3 linked regions of the Caenorhabditis elegans genome follow. The protein of the gene in region 3 interacts with the protein of the main gene of each other region in a pairwise test. Each region holds a gene or a part of one and is shown on either strand. Other genes may lie near its edges.

The links.
Region 1: the proteins of ctn-1 (region 3) and Y71G12B.27 interact in a two-hybrid assay, tested with the Caenorhabditis elegans proteins (one large-scale study listed by BioGRID).
Region 2: the proteins of ctn-1 (region 3) and hsp-17 interact in a two-hybrid assay, tested with the Caenorhabditis elegans proteins (one large-scale study listed by BioGRID).

Annotation. Positions count from the first base shown.
Region 1 is NC_003279.8:1,796,920-1,800,412, reverse strand, and holds Y71G12B.27 (Cyclin-dependent kinases regulatory subunit), read left to right. Parts: upstream 1-1,690; 5' UTR 1,691-1,767; coding exon 1,768-1,911; intron 1,912-2,761; coding exon 2,762-2,974; 3' UTR 2,975-2,978; downstream 2,979-3,493. Other genes in the region: Y71G12B.5 (Apolipophorin), read right to left, coding at 498-696.
Region 2 is NC_003283.11:8,384,278-8,387,941, reverse strand, and holds hsp-17 (SHSP domain-containing protein), read left to right. Parts: upstream 1-2,014; 5' UTR 2,015-2,027; coding exon 2,028-2,074; intron 2,075-2,384; coding exon 2,385-2,622; intron 2,623-2,883; coding exon 2,884-3,048; 3' UTR 3,049-3,134; downstream 3,135-3,664. Other genes in the region: gcy-7 (Guanylate cyclase), read right to left, coding at 1-4, 80-189, 300-490, 539-586; F52E1.14 (ZP domain-containing protein), read right to left, coding at 3,135-3,329, 3,376-3,515.
Region 3 is NC_003279.8:2,605,045-2,609,876, forward strand, and holds the start of ctn-1 (Alpha-catulin), read left to right. Parts: upstream 1-1,696; coding exon 1,697-1,888; intron 1,889-2,167; coding exon 2,168-2,251; intron 2,252-3,143; coding exon 3,144-3,264; intron 3,265-3,816; coding exon 3,817-3,983; intron 3,984-4,832. UniProt on the Caenorhabditis elegans protein: Required for slo-1 potassium ion channel clustering at presynaptic terminals and in egg-laying muscles; clustering of slo-1 mediates the intoxicating and sedatory effects of ethanol on worms.

The sequences.
Region 1 (3,493 bases), 810 kb from region 3:
TACGGTAGACAAATTACGTACAGGCCCCCCTTCTCGGGTCGTGTTAGGGCTCCCAGCAGAGTGAGGCGCGAAATGCGGGCCTCACGCCGACCTCCGCGCACCGATGTGTGTATGCAACGAAGTGCGAAGGGTAGTTATTTGGAGCGGCCGACAAGTTCGGGGTTCCGCAGCTTGGCGTGAAACGAGTAGCTTGGTGTGTGCAGTGCACAACGTAGTTCGAAACTGTGGTTGGCGGCCGACAAGTTCGGGGTTCCGTGCCGCACTATACATTCGGATACATGCGGCGTGAGTGACGCCGACACCGTGAGGCCGGCGCGGCTACCGCTGAGGTCGGCGCGGGACTCGTTGCGGCGACCTCATGGGAGCCCTAACAGAGATGTTAAATTGTTTCAAAATAGCACCGAAACTACTTAATTATAACTTTGCGAGAGCTTACAGATCATTCAAGAATCCCGTCAATTTTTCAACATCTTAAGGAAATTGCCTAAAACACTCACCCTTGTCATATTTTCCCTTGCATCCTTGAAACGAGAACCCATCGGAAAATAGTGTAGCAATCCGGGAAGCATCTCTAGTAGCAATTTCATCTGACACTTTGCTCAAAAACTCCTTGACAGTGGTCTCGGATCCATCGGCGAGTCCATGAATAGTTCTGAAGAGAAGAAAAACGAGAAGAAAATAATTTGTCAGCCACATATTGTGAGGCGACTATCTGCGGAAAAGACGGGATGGTGGGCTCCTTTTAAGCGACAAGATGGGCGGTATGATCGTTATGAATAATCGAATTATTGGAGGGACGGGAATTGGGAATTGTTGCGGGGGACGACACGTCAGCACAGGGAATCGAAAATCAAATTTGGAAAGATGGGAAAAAAATCAAGAAATCTGCAAAATTCGTAGAAGAAAGATGAAAGTGTGGGGAGCTTTTAGATTCGGTAATGTGTATTTTCTATAGAATCCCCCAAAGTTTCGAGTTTTGACATTTTTCATAAAAATTTGATAATGCCAATCGATTTCAATTGTTAAAAAAAAGCAAAAGTTGTATTTTTCAAAAATTCAAAAGTACTGAAAAATCATATGAAGTGCTTCTTTTTTCTTTTATAATACTGTTCAGCATGATCAGAAATACCAGAAAATACTAAAAAAAAGTATGCTAGTCAATCCGGAACATATTTTAAAAAATTGCACAATTTGACCAAAAGCTGTATTTTTCAAAAATTCAAAAGTACGCCAAAATCATATGAAGTGCTTCTTTTTTCTTTTATATTACTGTTCAGCATGATCAGAAATACCAGAAAGTATCAAAAAGAGTATGCTAGCTTGACCGGAAGATTATTTTGAAAAATTGCAAAATTTAGTTAAAATCTATTTTTTCAAAAATTCAAAAGTACTGAAAAACCATATGAAGCGATTCTTTTTTCTTTCATAAAACTGAAAAATAAATGAAGTAAATAAAACGATGCAAGCGCGCTCCAATGCGAATTTGAAAAAATTATGCGGGGGCACAAATGAAATTCGGCGATTTCAAGCTCAAATATAAAATCAGGGATTTTTTTGTTGAATTTTTTTTACATCGATATTCGGAATACTCCACGTGATTTGTAAAATAAATACAACATTTCAGAATTTAAAAAAAAAGAATTGTCCACGTAACCTTGCCCCCCCCCCTCTTCCTAATTGTTCCAACAACATTTCCAAAACTCCTCAACAATCATTCATTCCCTACTTGTCGTACAATTAACATCGAAGAATAAGAGTTTTTGAAAAATGGAAGATATCTACTATTCGCCACGTTACGAAGATGATGAATACGAATATCGCCACGTCATTCTTCCGCAAGCCGTCTCGAGAAAAGTGCCAAAGGGAAGACTTCTTAGTGAGGCTGAATGGAGACGTGCTGGAGTTCAACAGGTATATTTTCAATTAAGTGATATGTTAAGATTTTAGGAAAAAAATCGATAATTAAAAAAAATAGATTTTTCCAAAAATCGATAATTCACAAAATTGATATTTTGAAAAAGCCAATATTTTAAAATATTTTTTATTAAATTAAGCAAGGCTCCCAGCCGAGTGAGGTGCGAAATGTGGGCCTTACGCCGGCCCGATAATTTAATTGCCGGTTTGCTGATTTGCCGGAAATTCTCATGTTCGGCAAATTGCCGGTTTGCCGATTTTCCAGAAATTTTCAATTCCGGCTATGTGCCGGTTTGCCGATTTGCCAGACATTTTCAATTCCGGCTATGTGCCGGTTTGCCGATTTGCCAGACATTTTCAATTCCGGCTATGTGCCGGTTTGCCGATTTGCCAGACATTTTCAATTCCGGCTATGTGCCGATTTGCCGATTTGCCAGGAACTTTCAATTCCGGCAATTTGCCGGTTAGCCGACTTGCCAGAAATTTTCAATTCCGGCAATTTGCCAGAAATTTTCAATTCCGGCAGTTTGCCGATTTGCCGATTTCCAGAAATTTTAAACTTCGGCAATTTGCCGGTTTTTTGATTTGCCAGAAATTTTCAATTCCGGCTATGTGTCGGTTTGCCGATTTGCCAGAAATTTTCAATTCCGGCAATTGGCCGGCTTACCGATTTGCCCGAAATTTTCAATTCCGGCAATTTGCCTTTAATGAAAATTTGTTTTAAATAAACATTAATATGTTGATAGAATCGATATTTCAAGAAAACCGATAGTCATAAAATCGACGAAAAAAAATCAATATTAAATTTCTGAATGTGGCCGAATTATTGATTTTTCATACTTTTCAGTCACTTGGATGGGAGCACTACATGGTTCATAACCCGGAGAAGCACATTCTCTTGTTCCGTCGGAAGCGCCATTTCACAAAAGCCGACGAGGAGCGTGCCAAAATGGAATTGTTGAGAGATATGGAAGTGTTCAATAGAGCGCAACAGCAAACGACAGCAACCGATGAGAAATTGAACGCGGTTTTCTATGAATTTGTGAATAAAGCAGTGTAGATATTTTGTAAGACTTTGGGCTTCCATGGGTGAGCGGCGGTGCGTCTCGCGCCGGCCGGCCATCGCCGCTGTTATTTGGAAGCGTCCGACACGTTCGGGGTTCCGCGCCGCACTATACATGACTGAGGCGTCTCGCTGGTCGGCGAAGGCGCCTCGCCGGCGCAGGAATGGAAGCCCTAGTAATACCGTATGTTCAATTAAAAAGCGCCGAAAATCGATATATTACAAAAGTTGCTTTTTAAAAAATCGATATTTTGGGAAATCGATATTTCGACAAAAATCAATATTAAATGAAAATCGAAGTCATAAAAATCAATATTTTGCAACAAAACCCGTATAGAATAAAAATCTCGGCCGCCATAAAAACGAAGCATAAAGATTTTTATTTCAAATTTTATGTTAACAAAAATTACAAATTTGTTTTGAACGTAGAGTACACCAGGGGCCGGCAATTCCCGTTCGGCAATTTTTTTTGTCCACAAATTCGGAAAGTCGGCAAATTGCCAGTTTGCCGATTTG
Region 2 (3,664 bases), on a different chromosome or scaffold from region 3:
GTAGCTGAAAACATAACTGGTTTTTAAAGATTGGATCCAAAAATTAACTGTTACCAAAACATTTGAAAAATTTACTTACGCTGGTTCATAGTGGGCCCAATGATGACGTCCACGTTGTGCTTCTCTATAAGATCAACAGTCATTCCAGCGGCTTCAGATTCTACGCAATCGTCAAATTCAATAGTAAAACTGAAATTATTTTCAAAATTTACAAGATGATATGAACTATTAAAACTCTTCAATCCGGCCTGTCTATTTTTTTTTACAAAACAGTATGGCATTAGAAATAATCTACTTACTTGAATTCCCAACCACTCATTAGATTCTCCCTTTTCAATCTATCAACTGCAATTGAAGCTGCTGCTGCAGATGTACGATATCCAACAGTGATAGGTGCACTTTGAAAGTCTCTACAGTGAATAAATCCCACTCGAATCACATTTCCAGTGGTACCTGTTGCAACTTGGGGAAACATAGGTTTAGGTAACAACTGAAAAAAAATCATTTTTATTTTGTGGAATTCGCTTTCAAAACCTACCGTAATCACTAAAAACAAAACTAGAGACATTGAATAGAAGGGCTTCATGATTATTTTCTTATGCTAAACTGGCAGACAGCAGATCTTTTTATATCTGCACAAGGGGCGGTGGGATTTATAGAAACTTAAGTTTACTACGCCTGCCGCCTAATCCGTGAAACCTTATTTTTATATTTTTCCGCCTCCCGAAACAGTTGATACGTGAAAAAGCACGGAAGAGAAAAAAGCTTCTTTTGGACTTGATTAATCTGTTGGTCATGAGAAAGCGTGACACAAGGTAGGTTACGGTAGCAATTGCGTAATTAATCGGATCAGTCTATGCGCATTTCTGAAACATTGGGGATTTCAAATCTAGTTTATCAAACAGATACAAATCACATTGACATCTCGTGGAAACAGTCTGTAAAGTACCGCAAATTTTACAATTTTTGATATTATTGTCGTTAAACAAGTTCCATTTCAAATTTTTTATTGAATACGGTAAAAAAACAAGAGAGGCAGCTGGTTGAAGTGAGTCACTCTTGTTGAGTTTTCGTTACTGGAAACCTGAATGAAGATAGTTTTTAACTTTAGCATTACGCCTCATTATTTTCCTATTTCCTTTTTACTATTTTACTTGTATTTTTAAACTTTGTTTAGCACATTGAGCACATAAAACCAAATGTTATAAATATCCTTATCATCAACCCATCGGTTTCTTTTTAACTTTTTTCTTTCTCGAATTTCAATGACCCGGAAAACCACCACATCATATGAAAATCGAATCTAAAAATTTGCAGATACGCATCTGTCCTGCTGCGCTCTTTTTTTATTTTTGAATGTTTTTTTTTCTGCAAACGTTGGGAACAGTCATCCAATCCTTCAACCGTTCGTCTCGTTTTGAATGACAAACGTTCTCTTTCCGTCCTCTGTTTGAGTATATTTACATTGCTAATTCAAAAAAAAATAGTATAGAATATAATGATACTTAGAGATAGTTCTGGCATAAAGTTTAAACTTGAATGAAATCATCAATGCCATTAATAACTGTGTCACTGCATTAGTTTATCAGCAAGTGTGCCAGCAAAAAAAACGTTTCGAGACGATTCGATACATTCCTGAAAAACTTCGATAAAAGGGAAGTATCCAAACAACCACACCCAACTTTCATCATTGACTCGCTGTTTTGCTTTTTATTTTTGTTAATCTTCCTTACAATTAGTTTTAAAGTTTAAAACAAATATTACATGTTAGAAAGAACTGTATTTTGGTCAGTTTGTTCGAATAATTTCGAAATCTAAAACCTTTTCTTTTTGATGATTCGTCGGAGTAGATGTTTCTCGAAGGAGGTAAAAAAAACCGTGGGCGATTCTTGTTTGCATTGAGGATAATAGAGCAGTAGTAGAAAAGCAGGGAGTGTCAACTCAGTTTTGTCTTCTTCTTCCCCTATTTCTGTCTTACTTTCGTTTTGTTTCTTTGAAATAATTAGATTTTCAGAAACTATTATAAAATGGATCGTCGTTTTCCACCATTCTCCCCATTCTTTAACCATGGCCGGTAAGTTTCTAAATTCTCGTGTTTTCGGAAACTTCTATAGTTGAAGTAACATAACTTTCTGTAAATTTTCTTCTTTAATAAGTGACGTCACTCAAATTGTACTCTGCGCCGCTAGTTCTTAAAATACACAAGAATTTAATTTGGCGCGATTTCTAAAAATAAGCTAGCGAGAGGACTTTGTACTCCAGTTTAGCAAATAATGCTCTGAAAAATCATAAAGACTGGAGATTTTGACATATTTTTCTGCAATTAGAAAATTAGAAAATTAACTTTAAAAATTTTACAAAACTCCTACAAACAAGTTTTCTAGCAGATTCTTCGATGACGTCGACTTTGATCGCCACATGATCCGACCATACTGGGCCGATCAAACAATGCTCACTGGACACCGAGTAGGAGATGCTATTGATGTTGTGAACAACGATCAAGAATACAATGTATCTGTAGATGTTTCACAGTTTGAACCAGAAGAGTTGAAAGTGAACATTGTTGATAATCAGCTAATCATCGAAGGAAAGCATAACGAGAAGACTGATAAATATGGACAGGTGAGGGTTTCCCTCCTTCTTGAAAAACTCAAGTTTTGTATGAAGCTAGTGCAACTTGAAAATGTTTTCATGCATCCTTAGATTAGCTCTCAAGATCCTGAAACCTTACTCGGAAAAGGGCAAAAAGTTATCCAAAATAAAGGCCAAGAGTTCTAGATTATCCTTCCGCCTGTTACGCAATACAAGGAAGCCAAGCAACTCATTTCCGAGCTTATAACGAAGTTGTACTAAAGTCTAAAACCTCGTTGTGCATACTTTCAGGTAGAGCGTCACTTTGTCCGGAAGTATAACCTTCCAACAGGGGTCCGTCCAGAACAAATCAAGTCCGAATTGAGCAACAATGGAGTGCTCACTGTCAAATATGAGAAGAATCAGGAACAGCAGCCAAAATCCATTCCAATCACAATTGTGCCAAAGAGAAACTGATTTCAGTTACCTAAGTGTCTGTATTTTAACTATTTCAAAAATATTTATTCAATTCCATTATTGAAGTGACAATATAAACATTTTGTTTAGACTCCAACAATCTTTTGAACCGTAATGAATAGAGCATATGGGAACATGGATGGCCTCTTCACTTTCACATAAACTGAGCAGAAGTTGAAATCATCATAATAATCATAATCGATTCGAACTCCTTGTGAGTTTAAATCAACTTGCATTGAAGCGATTGAAGTATCGTTTGGTGATCCAATCGTTGAGAAAACCTTGAATTTAATCATGAAATCTTTTCAAATAGTGACGAAATTATACCTGTTGTGCTAGAGCAAGTGGAAGACTTCCATTGATAACTGCAGATGATACAATGACGTTTTCGAGTGTTTTATCTTGACAATGAGATTGACACCATTGAACTTGGGATACATCTTTTCCGCAATTGGAAAGTGAAGCGTCTGGAAATTTCTTAAAATCGATAGGAAATCTTTTAAAATTAGTTTAGAATACTGATGCAACACATTAAACATGATAAGATTCATTCTTTCCTGTTAGCAGATTAATTTATAATTGATGAGCTTTCTCTATCAATGACGTTTTTTTTTAG
Region 3 (4,832 bases):
TAGGATACGTACAATTTTGCAGATTAAAATTGAAATTCTGAAATTTCCAATTGCCGAAAATTTCCGGAAATTTGCCGGTTTGCCGATTTGCCGGAAATTTCAATTCAACAAAAATTCCCACAAAAAAAATTCTAGGTCATTTCCAGCCAGTGTGCAAACCACCCCTCTTGCAATAATGGAAGAGGAAAAAAATCCTAGGCCAGCACTACAACACCCACCCCTGTTCACATTAATGGCCCCCTCATAAAATAATAATATGTTTCTAATCGATTCGGGTGATCGGTTCGTAGTCGTCACCCATCCATCTCTCTTTCTCTTTCTTCTTCTTTTTCTTCTTCTCACTTCTAGTCCGCGCCGCGGCGACAAGAAGAAGAAGAAGAAACTGGCAAGAGAGAGAGAGAGCCCCACTTTACACTCTTGCTCCCTCTCCCTCTCTGTGTCCGGAGCACAAGAGCTCTCGCAGATGGGGAGCCGCAGCAGCAGCAGCGGCGACGGCGGTGGAGCAAGAACACAAAGTGCCCTCTGCCTTTTAGTCACCCTCTGTTGAGCACAACAACCACCGGGCTCCCCGTGGTCACTTTTCTGGAAATCCTCTTGAGACAGTTCTCTTGATACCATCTCCTTTCTCATTTTTCCCTCTCTTCCGGGTTTTGTTTTTACCCCACAGATTTGTTTTTTTTTGTTTTTTCTTATTGCCGAAAGTGTTCCACTTATATTCCATGCTCCTTTTTTTCTAAAAAAAATTGGTTTTGAACCAAGGAAAATTTAGATTTTTCAATCAAACTTTCAAAAAGAAAGCGGGTACAATACTCAAAGTTTAAAAGCGCATAGCCTATTTTGGGCAATGAAAAATTTTTTCCGCCTTTTTTTCTGATATAAAAAATAGATTAAATTTTTTTTTTTAAAGAAAGACATTTTGAAAGGTCGGCAAATTTTTTCTGTCAATAAATTGGGCGAATTGCCGATTTTTGGAAAATTGCCAATTTGCCGTTTACTTTTCAGATGTAGGAACATATGTAGGAACATTCACAGGAAAAATTTGCCGGTTTGCCAATTTGCCAGAAATTTCAATTCCGGCAAGTTTTTCCGATTTGTCGATTTGCCAGAAATTTTTTCCGATTTGCCAATTTGCCAGAAATTTCAATTCCGGCAATTTTTTCCAATTTTCCGATTTGCCGGAAATATTCAATTCCGACAATTTGCCAACTTGCCTGAAATTTTTAATTCCGGCAATTTTTTCCGATTTGCCGATTTGCCGGAAATTTTAAATTTCGGCAATTTTCTCCGTCTTGCCGGTTTACCGGCTGTTTTATAGTACCAAAAGTTTAAAGGCGCTTAGCCTATCCAGGGTCTTTTTTACCGGATTTCCTGATTTTTTTTAAATAAAAAAATTAATTCAAATATATTTTGGAAAATCTTGATAAAAATAGTTTGAAAAAAATTAAATTGATTTTTTTAATTTTTCGTTTTTTAAACTTCAGTTTTTGGCCAAAAAGCCTTCAAAATCATAAAGTGAATTTCGAATTTTGGGGATACAAATTCACTAATTTTTTAAAAAATATTTTGGGGCTTTGAAACAAAAATTTCAGACTTTTACCCGACTCTCATTCATTTTAATTCCTCCAATTTCTAACCGATTTCCTCCGTTTTTTTTTGATTTTTTGCTGAATTTCATACTTTTTCAATCAATTTTAATATGAAAATTCCAGGTAGGCGCGGCGGTCATCTTGCCAAGAAGATGGCGGCGTCATCGATGTCATCGTTGACGTCCTCATATCACACGACGGCAATGCCGTCCTCGAACTCTGTGGTCCCGCCGTTTGATGCTCGAAATTTGGAAATTAAGACAAAATCCATAGAGCAGACACTTATCCCGCTAGTTACTCAGGTAGGGAGTTATAAAGAATTTTTAATTTTTTTTTAATTGAAAAATGTCTTACGGGGCCTAGAAACCCCCGCAAAAAATTTTGTGAAAGTTATGACGTCACTAGTGACCTAAATTTTTTGTGACGTCACACATGACCTAAAAACTTTTACCGAACATCCTAAAAGATTCTACTTTGGCGCTGCAAAAAATGACATCACCCTTTCTTTGGGCGATTATCCATGTTCATTTCCGTCGTTTGACGGCCCATTTGGCACGATTTATTTATTTATTCGTTTATAGATCACCACACTCGTCAACTATAAAGAAAGTTACATGGCAAGTGGGAAGCCGAAATCTGAACGAGCAATGAGAGCAGCGTTGAAGGTTTGTTGGAAATTTTTTAATCTGAATCTGGAAAAAGTGAAATTTAAAAAAAAGAAGTTTTAATTGAAAATTGATCAATAAAAGTTGAGAAAACTAATTTTTCTTTTGTGTAATTTTTAGACAGAAAAATTCTGAAAATTATAAGAAGAAATTGAAGAATTTTCCCCGGAAAATGTTGAAAGATTCCTAAAAAAAATAACACAAAAATCGGAAATTCTGATCATTTCCTGGGAAAATTAAAATTTGAATTATTAACTAAACTATAGGCATTAAAAAACCTTTAAAAAATCTCTGAAATTTGTTTTAAAACAATTTCTGTGGAACATTAAAAAATCTCGAAAATTTGAAAATTGTAATTTTTTATCATAGAAACTTTTTTAAAAATATTGACCAAAATATTACGGCAAACACAAAATTTGGAGAATGCGTACTGTGCAACATATTTGACGCGCAAAATATCTCGTATCGAAAACTACAGTAATTATTTAAATGACTACTGTCGCGTTGGTGTCGATTTACGGGCTCAATTTCTAAAATAATAATAAATCAAAACTATTTATTTATCAATAGAATATATGGAATATCGCTCTCGTAATTCGGAAAGTAATTATTTTCGAAAATAGAACCCGTAAATCGACACAAGTGCTACAGTACTTATTTAAAGAACTACTGTAGTTTTCGCTACGAGATATTTTGCGCGTCAAATATGTTTCACAATACGCATTCTCAGAATTTTGTAAATGATAAGGTATCCTAATTTTATATTATAACAGTTTTCTAAACAAAATTTTTTAAATATCAATATTAGCATGGAACGGACAAACCCAGTTTGGATAGAATTTACAAATTTTTGTGGAAAATTTTAATTTTTTTAAACTTTTCCTGTTTTCAGATCGGAAGCGCCGTTGAGGCAGCAATCGAACGGTTTGTGTGTGTTGGAGAGACGATAGCCGACGAGAACGCGGATATTCAGCCGGAAATGTATGATGCGTGTACTGAAGCTCGGCTAGCTGGTAAATTTATTTTTTGATACAAAAAAGTCATTGTGAAAATCTGGGAAAACTGGTGGTTTTTGAAGAAAATTTTTAAAACTTCCAAAAAAACTGCCGATTAAAATTGAAACTCTGAAATTTCCAAAAAATTGTGCAAAACCATTTGCCGGTTTGCCGATTTGCCGGAAATTTCAATTCCGGCAATTTGCCAATTTGCCGGAAAAAAATCGTTTGCCGCCCACCCCCTTATGAGAACTACGGATTAAGATAAAATAGCTTATAGACCCCCTTCTCTCAACTGAAACAAAGAAAGGCACCTCATTTCTTCACCCCGGCGGGGTGTCATATTACATGAAACACTCAATGGGTGTGATTATTCCATCGTCATCTATGTATACACGAAGAAAAAGAGCACAAATCCATGCTCACGTATCCAATTACCAGAGCCTCTCCATTTTTTTGCAAAGTGTGTGGGACCTTGTTTAGTCCGAGAGAGCTCTTACCTTTGATCTGTGGAAAGCCAAATTTCCTGCCAGTTTCTGAGATCAAATATAAAAATCCGATATTTTTCAGGTGCTTCAATGGCCAACCTATCATGTGCATGTAACGATGATCCCAACTCGGTGGTGGATAAAGCTGTGCTCGTCCGAGCCAGCAGGCAGCTCTTGAGCAGTGTCACCAGAGTCCTGCTACTCGCGGATCGGGTGCTTGTCAAGCAGGTTTTGAGGGCCGAGGATAAGGTGAGACAGATGAAAAATGTTAATTTTTCAAAATTTCCAAAAATTATTTGAAAATTTTCTGACAAATTTCATTCTGCAAAATCGACAAAATTCCTTAAAAAATAAAGATAAAAAATCTTGAAATTAAAAAAAAAATTAAGACAAAAATCCACCAAATATTGGCAAAAAATCACTAAAGAACCACAAAAATCTACCAAAAAATAGGAAAAATTATCAATAATTGCCAAAAAATTTTTTTTTAATTTGCGGAAAAAATTGTGAAAATTCAGCGAAAATAACTAAAAATTGACGAAAATTGTATGAAAATGTACAAAATTGCTCAAAAAATTGGCCAAAATTTACCGAAAAAATGGAAAAAAAACCGAAAAAAAATTACCAAAATTTACGGAAAAAAAAACCGAAAATTGGCCAAAAAACGTCAGAAATGTACAAAAATCTACAAAAAAAGTGAAGGAAATAATTCACCAAAAATTGCCAAAAAATAGTAGGACATTTTTCAAAAATTGGCAAAAAATGCCGAAAAATTGAAAAATTAATTGTCTAGAATAGTCAAAAAGAAAGCCAAACATTGGTTAAAACGACCAAAATTTACCAAAAAAAAAAAATTTCTAACAAATGGAAAAAAAAACTTACCAAAAAATGTCGAAAAAAGTTACAAAAATTACGAAAAAAAATGACAGAAATTTACAAAAGCCTACCACCAAATTTTTCGAAGTTTTATCAAATCTTTTTTTTTTAATTACAAAAAAAATTGGCAAAGTGTTTCAGAAAAGTTACGAAATTTACCAAAAAAATGTTCGAAAAATGCTCAAACATTGTCGAAAAGCGGTCAAATAAGCCATAAAATTT